Linked DNA regions of Yarrowia lipolytica. The protein of the gene in region 1 purifies or fractionates together with the protein of each later gene. This does not show direct contact. Links are inferred from orthologs where the notes say so. Each region holds a gene or a part of one and is shown in the gene's direction. Other genes may lie near its edges.

Region 1 (6,845 bases):
AGTATCATAGAATCTATGAGAGTGCTGGACTGCTTTCTAGTAGGGATTTCAAGCCATCACACCTTGATGGTGCCACAGTGAAATCAGTCGTCAGGCGAAGGGCATGACAACATAGCTTAATATACACGAACACCATTTACACCACGCAAGTTCAACTTGAGAAGCGCATTGTCTTTCTAATCTATGGAGGTACCTACTCCACCTTTGGTAGCTAAGTTAGTTTCCCCCGATTCAGGCCAGCATCAGTCGGCTGGGCTCTTCTTCGCTGTCTTCGCTCACAGAACCGTAGCCCAATCTCTGCGAGGATGGGCGGTGGTGATTGCTGTGCTCGCGATGATGATGATGATGATGATGATGACGATGATGCTGATTGTGGTAGTGGTGGTTTTGGCTTTCTATGCCTCCTGGACTTACTTGGAAATTACTGTCGTTGTACCAGACGTAATGCTGTAGCATGAACATGATGTCGAAAATTAACGTGATCTGTGTTAGTTGAGAGAGCTCTGCAGGTCTCGGTAGAAATCAATACTTACCAATGATAATAGAAGCTTTGGCACATTCTTGAAGATACCCTCATAATCGTGATTGATATAACCATCCAAGATTAGCTGTGCCAACGATAAAATGCCTCCTCCGAAATCACACAAAATGGAAACAATTGACCATCCCTTCGTGGACTTACGTCGGAAGTTCCATAGAAGTTGCGGGAAGTATTTACTGGTGCTCATGAGAACCTTGACGGATCCTGTGACATATGTAACATCCAACCATTGTAGTCCAATGCTGGGGTCCGAATTGCCGAACAGATACACAAGAAGCGCCGTTCCGAGTGATATTCCGATACCGAAGATTAGCAATGATAGGCCCCATTTGGACAACCGCTGTAGTGGTGATCGACTAAAGCCCCAAAAGTACACTTGACTGAGTGTCAGGAGGGTGAGGAAGCAACCGTGAATGCCAAACCACACGTCGTTGAGACGGACGAGTGGGTAATGTTTAACACCCGAAGGATCAGAATGACGTGCAGCATATTGCTCCCGAATTGTGTGATTGTAATAGAGGAGCACTGTTGATATCGTGTAGCAAATGTACCCAAGTGTGTTGAGGTAGAGAAAATCGAGTGAGATACCTTCCACAGACTTCAATTTGATGTTCAGCAAGATCGGAGGATAGAAGGAGAAGCTCCATAGTGCAAAATACGTCCACCCAAGAACGGATGACACTATGACCAGAAATTGCATCACGTTGTGTGCCTTTCAGTCGCTGTTGCCTGTGGGTGCGGGATAGTGTTTCTAATTGTGGATTTGTGGATTAGACTATGTGTACTGTACTCGTACTTACTGTACATCATGAACGTACCGTTTACTATCTTACTGTAGTACAAGTAGTTACTGTATGTACAGTACATACAGGTACAATAGCTACTTACTTGTACTCGTACCGGTACTTCTAATTATATTCTATATTGTGTAATATGATAACAGCTCACACATCAGTTGAAAGGGACACCTTCCGACAACGAGATTCTCAGATTCTATTAGTGAAAACTCAGAATGGGGTCCTCCCCCAACCCCTACATGCCTACAAGTATTTCCAGACAAGTACAGTATGTACAGTACAGTACAGTACATACATACAGTATTGCATGCCTGGGATCATAAATCAGTAGAACATGCTACAAGTACAGAGTACATACTGTACAGTACAGTACTGTACCGGTATTGTACTGGTATTCGCCGTCTGTACAGGTGTACTCATAGGCCACGCATGCATCATGTATCGTAGACAGGTTATGATAATACTTTTCGGGAGACCCATAGCACCTGACAATATGGTCTTGAATCTGCATTCGTATGTACAGCACAGTAAGAGTACTGTACGGACAGTAGCTACTTGTACCAGTAATTACTTGTAGCTTACCGATACATGATCATGAGTAATTGCCAACGCAAAATAGATGACCCCAAGTATTCCCGAAAGTTTAACTCCACTGTCCATTGTGAAAGCGTCGTCCCGGTCTTTTCCATATTGCCCCATGATCTTCAATGGAATGTTACGCTATAGGAAGGCGCTCTGAATTACGCGTATCTGGTAAGAAACAATCTCATTGAGATTGTACTTGTTATCACTTCATCAGAATATCCACCCTCTATAGTCGGTAATTTACCTCGGCATTTCTTTCTGAAAATTAAGGTTCTTTTCACGTTTCCCCCACATCTGTCCCAAGTGGGGTGCCACTTCTCATCACAAGCCTAGCATCTCGCGCACCTCCAGAACCATGGCACATTCAGCTCTAGTAGGGTACGCGCCTTTAAGGTCGGGGCTTGTTAACATTCCGACATCGCTTTCCTCGCTAATTTTCAACAGTGGAGTGGTGAGTATCAACTATGAAGGACAGATCATGAGACCGTTGGGCCAGAGCCAGAGCGATCCTAGATCCTATGGTCTCTTTTGGCAAGACCATTTAGTGGTGATCAGAAGAGTTGCTGTTACGACCTGAGATATCCCATAATTGTTGGGTGACTACCTATCACATTAGTGATACACTCTTGAGGAAGCCCTCAGCGGATGGTCCTGTACACGAGTCGCTGATCTGAGAACCAAAATGGTCTCCAACGAATGAACGCCTCGTGGAAAAACTAACGCAGTCAATTCAAGATGTCATTTTATCACTGTCATGGCAGTCTAAACCGTCGGTATCCGGAACCAGAACCACACAGACTGCCTATGTCGGATGGACTGGTATGACATCCAAGTCTGATTATTCTGGAAAAGACAAGATTGAACTCGACCCGGTTTTTGCCAAATCCATCGATCTACTGCCCAATACTCAGGTGGTCATTGACATTCAGCTGAATCCCAAGATCGCACACACCATTCACTTGGAACCTGTCACCGTGGCTGACTGGGAAATTGTCGAACTACATGCTGCATACCTTGAGTCTCGGATGATTAATCAGGTTCGAGCTGTATCCCCCAACCAGCCAGTCACGGTATACCCGTCCTCCACCACGTCTGCTACGCTGAAGGTTATTCGAATCGAGCCAGATTTAGGAGCAGCAGGATTCGCCAAGCTATCGCCAGACTCTGAAGTTGTGGTAGCTCCCAAGCAGCGAAAGAAGGAGGAGAAACAAGTGAAGAAACGGTCCGGAAGTGCGAGATCTACTGGATCTCAGAAGAGAAAAGGTGGCCGAGGCCCCCACGCTCTGAGGCGAGCTATTAGTGAAGACTTCGATGGCCATCTACGTTTGGAGGTGTCCCTGGATGTCTCCCAGCTGCCCCCTGAGTTTCACCAGCTGAAAAATGTTTCCATCAAGGTCATTACACCGCCCAATTTAGCGTCCCCTCAGCAAGCAGCCTCTATCGCAGTAGAGGAAAAGTCAGAGGAGAGTTTGTCTCAAAACAAGCCACCCTCTTCTGAGCCTAAGGTTGAGGTTCCTCCGGATATCATCAATCCTGCTTCCGAGATCGTTGCGACTCTCGTTAACGATACTACTTCTCCCACTGGTCATGCTAAGCTAAGTTATGCACTTGCCGACGCACTGGGGATCCCTAGCTCTGTGGGCCACGTAATTAGATTTGAATCTGCATCTAAGCCTCTTTCTCAAAAGCCTGGAGCGCTGGTGATTCATCGTTTCATCACTAAGACAGTGGGGGCTGCAGAGCAAAAATCACTCCGATTGAAGGGAGAGAAGAACGCCGACGATGGTGTTTCAGCCGACGACCAGTTCTCTTTGCTGGAAGAGCTCAAAAAGCTGCAGATGCTTGAAGGGCCTATTACGAATTTTCAGCGCCTACCTCCTATTCCCGAGCTGCTTCCTTTGGGTGGTGTCATCGGTTTGCAAAACTCAGAGGGCTGGATCCAAGGAGGCTACCTCGGCGAGGAGCCCATACCGTTTGTTTCTGGTTCTGAAATTCTAAGATCAGAATCGTCCCTGTCCCCTTCAAATATCGAATCTGAGGACAAGCGTGTTGTTGGCTTGGACAATATGCTGAACAAAATTAACGAGGTTCTGTCTCGTGACTCTATTGGGTGCCTGGTTTACGGATCCAGGGGCTCTGGTAAAAGTGCTGTTCTGAACCACATCAAGAAGGAATGTAAAGTGTCACACACTCACACGGTCTCCATTGCCTGCGGTCTCATTGCCCAAGACAGGGTCCAGGCTGTGAGAGAGATTCTCACCAAGGCATTTCTTGAGGCATCCTGGTTTTCCCCCTCAGTCTTGTTCTTGGATGATATTGATGCATTGATGCCTGCCGAAGTCGAACACGCTGATTCTTCGCGAACAAGACAGTTGACGCAGCTATTTTTGGAGTTGGCATTGCCCATCATGAAGTCTCGCCATGTTTCCGTTGTGGCTTCTGCACAGGCCAAAGAGTCCCTTCATATGAATCTTGTGACTGGCCATGTGTTTGAAGAGCTTTTCCATCTCAAATCTCCCGATAAGGAGGCTCGTCTGGCCATCTTGTCAGAGGCGGTTAAGCTGATGGACCAGAATGTTTCCTTTTCACAGAATGATGTTCTCGAAATTGCTTCTCAGGTCGATGGATACCTGCCTGGGGACTTGTGGACTCTGAGTGAGCGAGCCCAGCATGAAATGGCTCTCAGACAGATTGAAATTGGACTTGAAAACCCTTCAATCCAACTCGCGGACTTCATGAAAGCACTAGAGGACTTCGTGCCATCATCTCTGCGAGGGGTTAAGCTACAAAAATCCAACGTCAAATGGAATGACATCGGTGGTCTGAAAGAAACCAAGGCAGTTCTTTTGGAAACCCTCGAATGGCCCACCAAGTATGCTCCTATTTTTGCATCTTGTCCCCTTCGTCTGCGTTCTGGTCTCCTTCTCTACGGTTACCCTGGTTGTGGCAAAACCTACTTGGCCTCAGCAGTTGCTGCGCAATGTGGTCTCAACTTCATTTCTATTAAGGGTCCTGAGATTCTGAACAAGTACATTGGTGCATCCGAACAAAGTGTTCGAGAGCTCTTTGAGCGAGCTCAGGCTGCAAAACCTTGCATCTTGTTCTTTGATGAGTTTGACTCCATTGCTCCCAAGCGAGGACACGATTCCACTGGTGTTACTGACCGAGTGGTTAATCAGATGCTTACGCAGATGGATGGTGCTGAGGGACTCGATGGTGTTTATGTTCTGGCTGCCACTTCGCGACCCGACCTCATCGACCCCGCACTGTTACGTCCTGGTCGACTGGATAAAATGCTTATCTGTGACCTGCCCTCTTATGAAGACCGGCTGGATATCCTGCGAGCAATTGTGGATGGAAAAATGCACCTGGATGGGGAAGTGGAATTGGAATACGTGGCGTCAAGGACCGACGGCTTTTCTGGGGCTGATCTGCAGGCTGTGATGTTCAATGCTTATCTTGAGGCTATTCATGAAGTTGTGGATGTTGCTGATGACACAGCAGCTGATACCCCTGCGCTCGAAGACAAGCGTCTTGAATTTTTCCAGACGACCCTTGGAGATGCCAAGAAAGATCCTGCAGCTGTCCAAAATGAGGTAATGAATGCTCGAGCTGCAGTAGCCGAGAAGGCTCGTGTCACAGCTAAGTTGGAAGCCTTGTTTAAGGGCATGTCTGTGGGTGTCGATAACGATGATGATAAGCCCCGGAAGAAGGCAGTCGTTGTAATCAAACCTCAACACATGAATAAGTCTTTGGATGAGACTTCTCCTTCCATCAGTAAGAAGGAGCTCCTGAAGCTGAAGGGCATCTATAGCCAGTTTGTCAGTGGTCGAAGTGGCGATATGCCGCCTGGCACTGCCTCCACAGATGTTGGTGGACGGGCTACCTTGGCATGATGTAATTTAATGATATGTTTTTGATTATCTTTGACGCAACATGTTATGGGTTTTGCCGGTGAGAATCGTCATCATCTGAGTACAGTACATACAGTACACAATACACATCAATTTTTAAGTACATACAACTGTAGGTACTGTACAGTATGTACATACATACACTTGTACTGTACTTGTACTTATACTTATACTCTGGTATTGGGACCACTTAATAAAACCTTATTACATGACAGTATTGTTGTAAGACACATGAATCACCACATTCGGGCTCGCATTTACGTACAGTACACGAACAATTGTCGACTCAAAAAGCGCTTCCTATATCACCACGTTAAAATATCATCGACATCCGGCTTATCTATGTAGCAACATTCTGCATTTTAGAGTGCCAGGTCGAAAATTATCTGTAGTGTTGGGTAAGGGTTCATGGTATATGCGGCTCACTCTCCGACTACTGTATATAGGATCGTATTTCGTGTTGTAATCTACAATACGAGTACTATACTGGGTTTGCATCTCATCATCACAGTACACGGTATGTTCACATTCACAATTCCATCGGAATCTATCAGCTACGGATATGCAGTGTTCCAGTCTAAAGGCGATCTTACACAGCTCAACATCGAGGTTACTGGGTCCGAAGGCGAACATGTGTTCTCAGTGCGAATCAACAAGGGTCTCTTGAAACAGCATAAGTATCGACGAAACAAGGAATCTGACGAGGATTGGGAAAAGGTAGTGCGGTGGGTTTTTACGGGCGAAGCCGGAGAGGGATTTGAAGCAGAAAGCGTGATTACTCAATGCTCATACGATAGCATGGACAAATCTTTGAGTGTATCAATCCGAAGGAGAAAAAGCGACGGCATTGTCGCCCGACTGGGTGATATCGAATTGAAGGAGACGTCAACAGGTGATCCGGATCTCATGACATGGGTACGTAGTATCGACGAAAGTAGAACGAACGTTCAGAAGACTCTACGGGAAACGCGTATCCAGACAAACATGTATAAGGGGCGATGCGTGGAG
Region 2 (4,250 bases), on another chromosome or scaffold:
CCTCTGTACACTGTTCCAATTCAGGAAGTTCAATCCACAATGTACTGGTTGCTATGGAATGACGTCAGAAAGCTGTCTCAAGGCGTTATGGCACCGAAAGAGTCTCACAGAGATGGCCCAGGGGCATGTAGAGGAATAAGTGCCACCCTGAATACGCGCGGAACAAGCGGAATAGATTCAAACTCCACTTTAATGCTCCGTGGGGAGCATGACCGGTCGTATTGCTTGTACTTGTCTCAGGAAGGGCGGGTATAATAACGATAACTGAGTCGGAGGAATGAACTCGATACGATCTGAGATACGGGACTCAAACAGAGCCAATCTACAAGCCAAGGCGGTTATCAGGATCGGTCTCCTCGCAGATAGAGCTTCGTTTGTGGTGGACAGTTATGAGTTTTTTAGAAAACATGAATTCCAGGGCAAGTTTCTGATGCAGACCACTGGTGAACGAAAATGAGGGCTTATTACAATCGCAAACGTTGGACAATCACAGCAGTGAACTTCTCTTGTTTGTATCTCTTCTGTAACAAAAGCTAGCATCACTTTTCTACCTCTCCATGACAGCAAGAGACGAAGATATAAAACAATACAAGCCAGTTGCGATCATGGAGAGTTCTTTATTCTCTTTATCGTCCTATATTATCCTTTGAAACTTCTTATCCCTGAACCTCAACCCCTTACCTCCATTTCTTTCACCTCACCCCCTGTTGAACCTCATATTGGTTTCTGGCATTCTTACCAACAATGATGGCGGATTGAAGTGTCTACTTGTAGTTAAGCAAGTCTAAATAATAAACCGACAATTGTATCTGATCTGCCCGAACCTCCTTGTGCTCTAAGCGCGATACTCATTAGTACAGCCCTGCGATGAGTCCAAACTAGCCTTGTGGTTGCCCACAAAGCACCTTTTTTGTCTCTAGTTTGCATTACCGGACACGAAGAAACCCTACCATGGGCTAAATACTGCTCTCTGTGGGCCCACAAGTACTGTCTAGCACTTCCACGGAGATGATCACAAATATGCAGGTGCTAGCGTCGTTCAGGTCATTTTTCAGCACTAGTGCCAAAATAAACCCCAGCGTTCCATCTCCGCCATCCAGAAGCGCACTAATTCAAGGGGAAGGAATACCAACAACAGTTAGTCAAGTGTTTATTTTTGTCCGAACAACGCTGAAGAAGTTGTCAAGGTTGTCTTCATGTGCAGCGGCGAGAGGAAAGAGGGTCCAACCAACTCTCTCGGTGACCTGACGAATACGAGGAGTTGATCACTGCATTCTTTAGGCCCCAAGGAATATATCAATGCAGTATATGTGACTGTAGACTCCCGTATTCGATAATTACCACGTTGGTATTGGTGGGTGGGTGTCTCGCCTGATTCATCAGAGAACAGTTTAGAAAGTGAAGAAATGAAGTGCTGTTAATGCATGTATTAACAAACGGAGTTGACCCGTGGACTCGCGGCAAAAAACTGAACAAGGACGACATGTTTTCCCCATAATACTTTGTTATCTACCCCAGTTAGCTGAATCCTACAAGTAGTAGACCCTAGGGTGGGTACACTGAGACAGTGGAGGGCAATGTTTTAATTCAAAAGTCGGAGGTTTTTTGAGACCCTCTTTTGTTCAGTTCATGTGACCCGTATTTTGAAGTTCCTGCTTAGCTCCTATTCCTCAGATTCTTGTGGTACACTCGAACCCATACGAGCACTTTATGCCATACATTGGGGGAGCTGCGCTTATGTAAGCATAGGAGTTTTATTTTCATTTTTATTTTCATTTTTATTTCATTTTTTGATAGTGGACGTTATTTGGCAAGTAGCACGCTATACTGGTGGCTACGTCCAATATCGACTCCTCCAGGTCCGGTTTTATCACGTGAATGTCACGTGAATGTCACGTGATTACTCATACCGGTACTGTACTGTACAGTACTGCACTCGTAGTGCATCTGAGCTGGACCGTTGGTTTTCAAGTTACCCTACTTTTTCCCCCACATGTGTTTTTCCGTTGTGATTTTGAGCCTCGGTAAATGGGGAACTTTGATTCCGGCGCTGGGAAATGGGGAGGTGCACTTATCTCGACTTTTCGGGCTCGGATTTGGAAAAGGACAACTGATTTGAATTCAGCAGATTTTTCTTAACATTGCGGTAGTTTCAAAAATCAAAAATACCCACTTTCCAAGTAATTCCACGTCTCATCTATCATCTTGGACCCTAACCCCGAAAACGCACCCCACATCAGCTCCTCTTATGATTCCCTCTTGTCTCTCTACACAACACATGGCACCTCGAGAAGATCTAGTGCAAAGTGCGGTGGCGTTCCTGAACGATCCTCAGGCAGCCACTGCCCCGCTCGCCAAGCGGATCGAGTTTCTGGAGTCCAAGGATATGACTCCTGAGGAGATTGAGGAGGCTCTCAAGCGGGCTGGATCGGGCTCGGCCCAAAGTCATCCTGGAAGTGTGGTGAGTCACGGGGGCGCTGCTCCAACCGTGCCTGCCTCCTATGCATTCCAATCGGCTCCTCCTCTTCCTGAACGGGATTGGAAGGATGTATTCATCATGGCCACCGTCACTGTTGGTGTTGGATTTGGCCTGTACACGGTGGCAAAGCGATACCTGATGCCTCTCATCCTGCCCCCCACCCCTCCGTCTCTCGAGGCCGACAAGGAGGCTCTGGAAGCGGAGTTTGCCCGTGTGCAGGGCCTGCTCGACCAGGTGCAGCAGGACACAGAGGAGGTCAAGAACAGCCAGGTAGAGGTGGCCAAGCGGGTCACAGACGCGCTCAAGGGCGTGGAGGAGACCATCGACCAGCTCAAATCGCAGACCAAGAAGCGTGACGACGAGATGAAGCTTGTGACCGCCGAGGTGGAGCGAATCAGAGACAGACTGCCCAAGAACATTGACAAGCTCAAGGATTCGCAGGAACAGGGTCTGGCCGACATTCAGAGCGAGCTCAAGTCGCTCAAGCAGCTGCTCAGCACCCGAACCGCAGCCAGCTCTGGACCCAAGCTGCCTCCCATTCCTCCTCCCTCCTCCTACCTCACTCGAAAGGCGTCTCCTGCCGTTCCAGCTGCTGCTCCCGCACCTGTGACTCCCGGCTCTCCCGTGCACAATGTGTCTTCAAGCAGCACCGTTCCTGCTGACCGAGACGACTTTATCCCCACTCCCGCAGGAGCTGTGCCTATGATTCCCCAGCCTGCTTCCATGTCCTCTTCGAGCACCTCTACCGTGCCCAACTCGGCCATTTCCAGCGCCCCCTCCCCCATCCAGGAGCCCGAGCCTTTTGTGCCCGAGCCCGGCAACAGCGCCGTGAAGAAGCCCGCCCCCAAGGCTAGCATTCCCGCCTGGCAGTTGGCTGCCTTGGAGAAGGAAAAGGAAAAGGAAAAGGAGTAAATGTTAGGATACAGTGATGATAGTGCAGAGATGACGTGATGAAATGCCGAAATCGAACAGTGAACGGTAGCTCACCTTCGAGTGTTCGGTTGGACCATGGATCAGACGGTGTTCATGGTGTACTAGGATGTATAAGGTGGATCTTTATGTTAGTGCAGGCATATAGAGGAATTTATTTAATGCTACTGTAGTGGTAAGACGTGATCAATTTTTTTTTAGCTATTCTGCACTACTCTACTAGGGGACATAGATGCTCGGGACATTTCTCCATTCTGACGACCATTATTGGTACCTAGACTGATATCGTGGAGCATCAAATCCGTTTTGGGCTGATTTGAACAAGTCGGTGCCGATATTGCCACGCCTGTGAATAGTATATAGAACTAGGCAGCTCTTCCTGTTTAGCCTGAATCCGAAGTCTGAGCGGCAAGATCAAGTCGAGAGACCATGTCACGATTCTGGAAAGAAATTCGCGTTCGGACTTCTCAGAGAAGTGATGCAAGATGGCTCAGATCGAAGACAGAGGATTCACTTAAAGGCGCTTGGTTGAATAACATGACGTTACTACTGACAAACTCCAAATGTTCTACTTCCGTAGTCAGAGACAGAACTGGGTATAGTACAGTATGTACTGCGTAGTATGTACCGTACTGTTTTGGACAGGCCCAGTTTGGAAAACACACGGGTTACCGTTAGCCAAAGCCCGTTAAAAGTGTCGATTGAAGGTCTGTTGGAATTATCACCAACAACCTGTCTTGCGTTTCGGGAATTTCCCCAGTCTTGCGCCTTGGACCGCCATGATGAGGGAACTCCGCTCCTAGAGAGATGTACGATGGCTTTCCACAGGGGACCTGGCAGA

Evidence for each region. The genes of interacting proteins can lie anywhere in the genome.
Region 2: the proteins of YALI1_C21682g (region 1) and YALI1_E11587g purify together in Saccharomyces cerevisiae (affinity purification with western blotting; 3 studies listed by BioGRID, with this or other methods). This does not show direct contact. The link is inferred for Yarrowia lipolytica from reciprocal best matches to the Saccharomyces cerevisiae genes PEX1 and PEX14.

What each region holds. Positions count from the first base shown.
Region 1 is NC_090772.1:2,165,980-2,172,824, forward strand, and holds YALI1_C21682g (uncharacterized protein), read left to right. Parts: upstream 1-2,278; coding exon 2,279-2,374; intron 2,375-2,648; coding exon 2,649-5,819; downstream 5,820-6,845. Other genes in the region: YALI1_C21639g (uncharacterized protein), read left to right, coding at 1-107; YALI1_C21664g (uncharacterized protein), read right to left, coding at 232-483, 534-1,241; YALI1_C21722g (uncharacterized protein), read left to right, coding at 6,246-6,845. UniProt on the Saccharomyces cerevisiae protein: Component of the PEX1-PEX6 AAA ATPase complex, a protein dislocase complex that mediates the ATP-dependent extraction of the PEX5 receptor from peroxisomal membranes, an essential step for PEX5 recycling.
Region 2 is NC_090774.1:1,156,457-1,160,706, forward strand, and holds YALI1_E11587g (uncharacterized protein), read left to right. Parts: upstream 1-2,248; coding exon 2,249-3,391; downstream 3,392-4,250. Other genes in the region: YALI1_E11565g (uncharacterized protein), read left to right, coding at 88-249, 299-457. UniProt on the Saccharomyces cerevisiae protein: Component of the PEX13-PEX14 docking complex, a translocon channel that specifically mediates the import of peroxisomal cargo proteins bound to PEX5 or PEX21 receptors.